2 linked regions of the Neurospora crassa OR74A genome follow. The protein of the gene in region 2 purifies or fractionates together with the protein of the main gene of each other region. This does not show direct contact. Links are inferred from orthologs where the notes say so. Each region holds a gene or a part of one and is shown on either strand. Other genes may lie near its edges.

What was found.
Region 1: the proteins of NCU05296 (region 2) and tbg purify together in Schizosaccharomyces pombe (affinity purification with western blotting; 3 studies listed by BioGRID, with this or other methods). This does not show direct contact. The link is inferred for Neurospora crassa OR74A from reciprocal best matches to the Schizosaccharomyces pombe genes alp4 and gtb1.

Annotation. Positions count from the first base shown.
Region 1 is NC_026506.1:2,228,028-2,232,564, forward strand, and holds tbg (tubulin gamma chain), read right to left. Parts: upstream 2,847-4,537; 5' UTR 2,700-2,846; coding exon 2,692-2,699; intron 2,640-2,691; coding exon 2,599-2,639; intron 2,496-2,598; coding exon 1,387-2,495; intron 1,327-1,386; coding exon 1,099-1,326; 3' UTR 362-1,098; downstream 1-361. Other genes in the region: NCU03955 (phospholipase D1), read left to right, coding at 4,241-4,537. UniProt on the Schizosaccharomyces pombe protein: Tubulin is the major constituent of microtubules. The gamma chain is found at microtubule organizing centers (MTOC) such as the spindle poles or the centrosome, suggesting that it is involved in the minus-end nucleation of microtubule assembly.
Region 2 is NC_026504.1:5,425,258-5,429,784, reverse strand, and holds the start of NCU05296 (spindle pole body component 97), read left to right. Parts: upstream 1-1,455; 5' UTR 1,456-1,898; coding exon 1,899-4,154; intron 4,155-4,230; coding exon 4,231-4,527. Other genes in the region: pca-5 (proteasome component PUP2), read right to left, coding at 1-425, 645-657, 799-823. UniProt on the Schizosaccharomyces pombe protein: Component of the gamma tubule complex that is required for the regulation of both interphase microtubules and mitotic bipolar spindles.

The sequences.
Region 1 (4,537 bases), on a different chromosome or scaffold from region 2:
GCTGGGGATTTGAGGATTGAAAAGAGCTAGCTTTCCATTGGTCAAGGCATGTTTTCTTCCTGGGGAAGTTGGAGCAACAGGGAAGCTCAAGGGACTTCTGGGAAGGACTCCTACTCCTCCCCTCCCGCGCTGGATGACCATGTCGTTTGAAATCCGTGCATCTCGAATTCTCGCGGTAATCTGCATTGAGCGCAGTGCATCTGATGTATTTTGCCAAATCTTGATGAGGTCATCTTCACCCTGAAGTGTTGGTAGGGAGATACGCCTATCACCGTCCTTGGGTTCCTGATTGAGACTAAAAGCAGTCAATGCCATCCCTGTCTCAATATTTTGTCTAAATACGCTAAGGAGTGCCAAGATGTGGTGATAGCTTCATCTGCATCTATATAGCTTCCTGCAGAGGACCATAACGATATTGATCGCAGCACCCACTGACAATGAAACACAACCAAGAAACAGAAAAAGTAAAAAAAAAAAAGTAAAAAAAAGAGAGAGGACAAGAGCTGGAATCGAACGGCTGACGTCACGTTCAACTGGAAGGGAGTAGAAGAGCCCTATTTTGCATAGCCGGAAGACGCCAGCTTACAGTGCTTCCAGGGAGGTTCTCCCCCGCCATTTAGGTCCCCGTTGGGTCACCTACGGCGGCGAGGGCCCCCCCCCCAGCATGTGGTGCACTACCCTCCTTGTGCAAAGAGAGCTCAGCGCACCACGCCGCTCGACCACGCAGCCACTTGTCAGTTGGTTGAGTACTTATCACCTTGGGGTCCTTTATGAAGCCCAAGCTGAGGTCGCGCGTGCATGCATTTTGGGGTTTGAAGACAAGTGGTATTTCCATAGCCTCAGTGGTCAAAGAGCTGCTGCAATCTATCGACAACATGCCAAACGATACAGAAAACGCGCGCCAACACCTTTCTCCTGGTTTTCCCTCCCGCCCAATAACGCCTGCGAACAACAATCTGGTCGTGATATCGCGTCAGCCTAGTTAAGAAAAAAAAAAAAAAGAAGAGAAAAAGAGGGATACCAGCTGTCTTTAAAGGATCCCAGGTATAGTCGCAAAACAAAAGGCCCCCAGCTGGCCATCATCTGTCCGGCTAAGACTCAAGCCATTCTCTTGTCCGTGTCAGCCGACGCGTTTTCGCCAAGCTCGGGGTTGAGATAATTGGCGTCTTCGGCAGCCTCGTAATCGGCAATAAGGTCCATGACGACCTCCCTGGCTTCGTCAAACTCGTTGAGGTTTTCAGAAAACGGCGCCGTCTTTTTGTAGGCTTCCATAAAGGCGTTGCGCTTCCGCATGCCATCGTACTGCCTAACGATACGCTTGAAGAGCTGTGTGAAGAAATGTCAGTTTGATCATCTATCTAGCCAACACAGCAGCAGTTGACATACCGTAGCAATACTAGTATGGTTTGCCAACATCAAACCACTGACACGATGTGCCATAGTCACGTAGGGACTCCTCTTGGTCAGTGCCACCTGGATGCTAGCGGGACCCCAAGGAATGAATGTAGCAAGACGACGTTCCCTAATACGGAGCAGACTCTTGTGCACATCGGTTGGGTCCACGTCGCCCTGGATGACGTTCAGGATGGAAATGTAGCAGCTCTTCTTGCCGGGTACAGTAGACACCATGCGATTCTTGGGCTGCAGCAATCGTCTCATGACGTCGAGAACCGTCGTTTTGCGCACCGTCTTTGCCTGCTCTACCTGGTCGCCAGTGAAGGGCGTGTACGACGTCATCAAGAAGTGGCATCGAGGAGTCGGAATCAAGGACGCGAGAATGCTGACCAGGTCGTTGTGCATGTAGCCGGGGTATCGAAGGGTGGTTGTGCTGGCGGACATGACGGTCGATACGAGCTGATTCGTCTGTTGGAAGGATGGCTCTTGTACGTGTAGTCTGTCGGCGGCAATGTGTGACAAGGCGCCGTTGTCAAGCACCACTACCGAGTCGGCGTTTTGCGTTAACCTCCTCATGGCAAGTAAACTGTTGTAGGGGTGCACGACAACATCGCCGGCGCTGGTCGTGTCGGGAAATACCGAATATGTCTGGATGATCTTCTTGGGGAAGCGGTCGTTCAGTCGCTCGAGTAGGAAAGAACCCAGGCCTGATCCTGTGCCGCCGGCGATGGAGTGTAACATCATGAAGCCCTCGAGGGAGTCGCTGCCGTCGGCTTCGCGCTCAATCATCTCCATGATCTCCTCATGTACCTGCTCGCCTGTTTGGTAACCATCACCCCAGTTGTTACCCGCACCAAGTCCGCTCTTGCCCACGTAGAAGTTTTCTGGGTTGTATATGTTCCGGTATGGTCCGGTCTGGATGGTATTGATGACTCTGGGTTCGAGATCGATCAGGATGGACCGGGGAATGTATCGCGTATCGTCGCTCTGGTAAAAGAAGACATCTTTACGGTCGCCGCCTTCGGTCGCAAAGTCCTCGATGGTTCCGTCCTGGCTGATGCCATGCTCCAGACAAAGCTGCTGCCAGAACTGGCTTCCGACTTGAGAATGTTAGCAGAAACTGCGCGTCCAGCTGCCGGATGTCGAGGCGCAAGACTGGGTGAAGGTCGACTGCCTCCTCGTCGGGTTGAATTGGGCACTCACTGCTGTTGCCGCACTGGCCGGCCTGGATGGTTATTATTTCTCTGTTTGCCGGTTAGTCACGATATGTTGGGTGCTGGGATGAGGGACGCGTACCTGGGCATGGTGGTGGCATTAACGAGGCGCGAGACCTCCAGGCGGAAATTGTTGCAATTGGGACAAAAGCGGAGGGAACATCGGTAAACATATGGAAGGACGTCAGCAGAGCACGCCCGGTAGTTCCCCACATTGGATTGCAGCACGTTGCCCACCACTACTACGCTAAGATTCCCGCGTCGACGCGACAGAAACGGGAGGAGATGGAACCCAGGTAGCTGCCGTGCCCCTGCGAACGCTACAAGGGACGGGAAATCACCAAACGCTACCTACCTCTACCTACAGTGACGCCCGCTGTCAGCTGCTAGCAGCATGATCGGAGAGGGGCACCTAACCTGGGCCGGTAGAGGTACCTCTCTCTACCAGAGACATCCAATGATCCATCGTCTCCATCCACCTATCTCGTGGCTGGCTCCCGTCGGCTGGATCTAGCAGTTCCAGGACCCGGGATTGCTAACCCTGTCGGGTATAGCTTCTGTAATTCGTTAAGGGCCGTCCATGCCTGCATGTCCAAGCACCCCAACCTAAAATGACAAAACCCCATTTTCCAGCAGGGCAGTCCAGGTGCGACGGGGGGCTCCTTCAGCGCCTTTCCACTTGGTTACTGTAGCGGAGCATTGCGCTACCTAGGTAAGTACCTTGCAACGTGACGGGACGGGATCCTTCGTCTCACCACTTTGACAAACACCCGACACACGCAGGCAGGCGTCTTGCACGTTTTACCCCTCCACATGACGGGGAACGTTGACGTAGAAGAAAGGTGACGGTCAAGAGATCAGGCAGAACTCTGAGGTGGAGAGAGTAGTTGACCGAATAATGAAAAAAACAAATTATTCCAGGTTGCTCTTGGTTCTCTCATTCCAACCTTACTACGCAGGTACAACGGACAGTTACCGTACCGGACGATACAGGTAGTAACAGTAACAGTAACAGTAACAGTAACAGACGGGCGCGGCCAATAAACAACAACTTCCAAGTTTGACCTCTCTCCTGCCCCTTTTCGCGTCTACCTTTTCCTTGTACGGGGATGCCCGCTGTGTACTAGTAAGTAGAGTACTACTACTCTAACAGTTTACACCTTGCTTCAATCTCCAACGTCACCTCATCTTGCTTTCTCTACACTACTTCGACCTCCCCCTAAAACCGACTGTATCTGCGAACTTCCACCTTGGGAGGTACTTCATACTGTTCAAGGTAGCCACGCCACCGTCTCCATCTTCTTTCACCGACCTTGTTGGCCCGATTGGAACCACTCTGCCGCTCTTTTCCCGGTCGTTGGCTCGTTCCGATTAGCAATTCCCATTATTCAAAAAGTTGACCGCCGTCTTCGAGCCCCTGGAGAGTCAACCCGCTTTCCACGAGCGTGACCATTTCTACCGTTACTTGTGAGCCGCGGCATGTTTCGCTACCGAGGATCCTACCCCTTCTTCTCTCAAGATACTGTCCACATCTCCCAGCATCAAGGACAACAACAGCAACAGCAACAGCAACAGCATACTTCACCAGTCCCCCGGTAGGCTGACCAACCGTCAACCGCCCATCGTCTGCCATGGCCGACCCGACCCGATCCAGTTCGGCCAGTCTGCCTGTGCCAACACAGTCGCGCAAAGAGAGTGTTCTGCAATCAGGGACCCTCGAGGAACTACCGACAATCACTCAGGCCCAAGTGTTTGGCGTTCCGTCGCCCATCGGCTCCGACCAGTTCGACTTCGCCACTAAGGCGAGCTCTCCGAAGACACCGAGAGCTAACGAAAGCCCGTCCGCCTCGGACTACCTAAACGGAGGCCAGCCACACAACGACGGTGTCTCCCCTGTACCCGATCAAGACCCACCCGCCTGGCTGCCG
Region 2 (4,527 bases):
ACAGACTCGGGCCGTCCTCATCGTAGCCGGCAATCAGCAGCGCCACGCCAAAGGGGCGGGACATGATGCTCTCCTCGCCGTCGGCGCTCTCGCCGAAGCGCAGGGCCAGGTCGCAGATGGCCTGCGTGCAGCTCTCGACGCGCAGCTTCTCGTTGTAGTTGAAGGCGTGGCTCTGGCACTCGACGCGGGCGTGCTCGATCATGGAGCGCGCATCGGCCTGCAGCCCGGACATGGCGGTCCCGATGTGGCGGTCGATCTCGACAATCTTCTCGACCGACGAGGTCTCGAGCAGGGTCGAGGTCACGCGCTTCTCGACGCCGAGAATGACGCCCTCCGAGGTGGCGACGCCGATGGCGGTGGAGCCGAGCTTGATGGCCTCGAGGGAGTACTCGACTTGGAAGAGGCGGCCTTCGGGGGAGAAGGTGCTGTAGGCATGATTATTAGTCTTCCTTGTTGGACTGGGTAGATAGGTGGGTGACTTGGATGTAGGTATTGTGGCAGGTTGTGTGGTGTTTTATCGGTATTCGTTAGAGGGTGTTATCGAGGGATATGCGATCGAGTAGTGGCTGGAGGAGTATGGGAGAGAGAGAGAGAGAGGGTGGTGTGGCCAAGCGTAAAAGTCGTTCGTTCGTATGTTCACTTACTTGATGCCCCGATCTAGATGATGCGCCCAAGTATGTTAGCCGTCCGTCAGTCCATGATGTCTGGTGTAGCTGTCTGGTGTAGCTTGTCCCCTCCGGTGGCATCACTTGAAGCTTGACATGGGCAAAGCAAGTGAGGGGGGTGGTAGTGACATACCGTATTCAGATCTTGCCATAAACATTTTGACGGTGTTGAGGGGAGCTCGAGTGGGGAGAAGGGTCCGGGATGTAGTATTGCTGTCGGGAGGTAAGCCTGGCTTTGCTGGTTATATGCGCCGGGCGTTGGTTGGTGATAGCCGAAGAGATAGATGGTGTTAGCGTCGAGGGTCGGTGTCTCTTAGTCGAGGACTGGTGAGTGATGTTGTTTGTTTTGGGAGAGATTGGATGATGCTGTGCCGTGGTGGTTTGGATGGGAACAAGCTGCCGTAAGGCCTGAACTGAGGTGCCTGGGACCGACCGACGTCAAGCACCTCAGTGGAATGGAAGAGCTCCAGGCACGACAGGCCGACGAAGCTCCTCTGCCAGGCGGGCCGGCCAATCCCCTGTACCCTAGGTACCTAGGTAGGTGTCCCAAAAGGTACTTGCAGGTACGTACCTCCCGTCTACCTTCAGTTCCCACCTAGCAACCCGACTGTCAGCGCCTGGCCAGGGGAACCCCTCAGACCTAGCGGCCCGGGTGCCCCTCCCTGCCCGTAGAAGCCGCCCGCTGGGGCATCACCTATCCACTGAGACGGCTTGCTTGGCGGGTCCTCCTCCCTCTGATAACGCGTCCAATTAATTGTTGGTGGTCGCGTCACTTCCATCCAGCGGGCATCGGGTCTCCATTCCGCCGACACACTCCAACATCCAACGGGACGGCATCCTCTCACACTCACTCACTCACTCACTCACTCATCACTTTTGGACTGCGATTGCTACCTTCTTGGCTTCGCAATTCCTCCTCCATTTCCATATCCAACAACGTCTCCTCACAGGACAACCCTGTTGTTGTTACCCGGCAGATTTCCCGACCGCTGCTCGACCGTCACAATACATACGTTAGGCTGACAAGCTACAAGTCCAAAGATAATGTACCCTTAGAAGGGGGCAACATCACCGGGTCTCCGACCGTCAACCTTCACCAAACCCAGGCCCGACACGCCCGACCCCAGATCCAGTCCAGCGGCCCACGGCATTGTACATGGCCACGAGCCGCCAAACATATCCATAACCTTCTCCCACTTCCCCGACCGCCGCGCCGCCAGAGTCACCTCCGCAATGGGATCATCGGCCACCCTAGCCCCGACCCAATCCACCTCACAGACACGTCCCACCAGCAGAACCCTCGTCAATGACCGCCGCCCAGCCAAAGTCCAGGTGACCACACGCGATCCTGCCATGGCTCGATCCGGCCGGAACGCCGACCCCCTCAGCGCTGGTAGCGACACCCTCAAGTCCAGATCACGGAATGTCGAGTCAAGGCGGCCAAGAGGAGACAGCCGCGCTGCTGAACAACAACCACAACCACCACCGCCAGCCCCTTGGGAACCCGCCGCTACCCTACTCCCTCACACGTCAGCCCCTTTAGCTTCGCGAGTCTCGATACCGCCCGTTGCTTCGTCCGCGCCTCAGACACTACAGCCGCGACCGCTTGCCGAGCTGTCCCTCAATGCGCAAGAGGCTGCCATGATCGAGGACCTGCTCTTCGTGTTTATGGGCTTCGAGGGACAGTACATCCGATTCGCAAAAGGCTACAATCCCTACGAGGAACGAGACCGCTTGTCTGGGCCACAATGGCGCATCCTATCTGGGCTGGATCCCAGCTTGCTGGACCTTACACAATCCATGCTGCGCATGGCTTCTCACTACACGGCGCTGGAGACGTTTGTTGATGTTCAGAGTCGCGAAGAATTCGGTGCCGTCAACCACGCCTTGTGCGCCTCGATCCGGAGGTATTTGCACGAGTATCTGGTCATGGTTGTCCAGCTGGAGACACAGTTTCTCAACGACGAGAACTTTACATTACAGCAACTCAACGTGCATATCCTTCCCAGCAGCCATCTGATGGCTCACATGTATGGCTTGGCGCTGGAGCTGCTAAAGCGCAATGCGCTTCTGGATGACGACTCGGACGAATCGAGCGATAGTTCCGACGACGACTTCGATCACATCATCGAGCAGCTCAGAGACGGCGGTGATCTTGTGCCGGGGAATATGACGGGCAAAAAGATATGCAAGGGAGGCGTGGTATTGGGGCTGATCACCAAGAGACTGGAGTCGCTATCGGGAGACCCGTCCGCCAGAGTACTCCTCACAACTCTGCTACGGGACGCAAGCCGACCATACATGGCCATGTTGAACGAGTGGTTGCACCATGGAAGCATCAACGACCCACATTCCGAGTTTCTGATCAAAGAACAAAAGAGTATTCGCAGGGAACGATTAGAGCAGGATTATACCGACGAATACTGGGAGAGGCGATACACGATACGAGATCACGACGTGCCACCTCAACTGGAGGCCGTCAAAGACAAGGTCTTGCTGGCTGGCAAATACCTGAATGTTGTCCGAGAGTGCGGAGGCGTCGATGTTAGTCGCAAGATGCAGGACGTACCAAACTCGTTCGACGACAATAGGTTTCTGGAGAACATCAGCAGCGCCTACGCTCATGCCAACGGATCGCTAATGCAATTGCTTCTTACCACACACGAGTTGCCGGCGAGACTACGATCGTTAAAACACTACTTTTTCCTGGACCCTTCGGATTACTTCAACTACTTTTTGGAACTAGGAACGTCCGAATTACGAAAGCCCGTCAAGGTGGTGAACACTGGCAAGCTCCAGTCTTTGCTCGATTTAGTCCTACGACAACCGGGAAGCATAGTCTGTCTGGACAAGTTCAAGGAGGATGTCAAGGTGGAGATGAACGAGGTTACGCTACTCAAATCGCTTCAGCGGGTCGTTAACATTACCGGTATTGAGCAAGGCGAGGCGCTTCAGCTTACATCAAACCAACCGTTGGAAGGCGACAAAAACGCCACTGGATTTACCTCGCTCCAGCTCGACTATACTGTTCCCTTCCCGGTGTCTCTTGTTATTAGCAGGAAGACCATTTGGCGTTATCAGGCCTTGTTCCGCTACCTTTTGTCACTGCGTTACCTCGAGACCCAACTATCGGTCACATGGTATACTCACGCAAGCGGCACGGCCTGGACACACCGTTCATCCAACCGCATGCTGGAGATCTGGAAGCGAAGGGTATGGACACTCCGAGCTCGTATGCTTGTATTCGTTCAGCAGCTGCTTTATTTTTGCACTGCCGAGGTAATCGAGCCGAACTGGCAGAAGCTCATGAACACGCTCCGGGAGATTGAGAACAACTGCGCGGGTGTGACTACACAAGACGGTACCTCTACGCCAAGGGCATCATCTGCCAAGAAGCCTCATACCGTCGATGGGCTTATGCAGGAACACGTGGATTTCCTCGACACTTGCTTGAAGGAATGCATGTTGACCAACAGCAAGTTGTTACGAGTATGTCTTGTCCCCCCCCCTTACCTCCTACCCTAGGTATTCCGAATAATACAAACTAACTAACAAACCCCCCCAGATCCACTCCAAACTAATGCAAACCTGCTCCGTCTTCGCCACCTACACCAACTGGCTCTCCCGGGAGCTCGAAAAGTCAGATCCAGACCTGACAGGCAACACCAAGCCGCCCAACATGACGGACGATCAATGGCGACAGTTTCTGGTTATTCGGGGCCAACGACAGCAACAGCAGTCAAAAGACGGAGACACGAACATGGAAAACGACAAGAACCCCGAGACGAGAATGAACGAGCTCTTTGACGTGATACGCAAGTGGGAAAGCAACTTTAGTCGACACCTGCAGATCCTGCTGGAC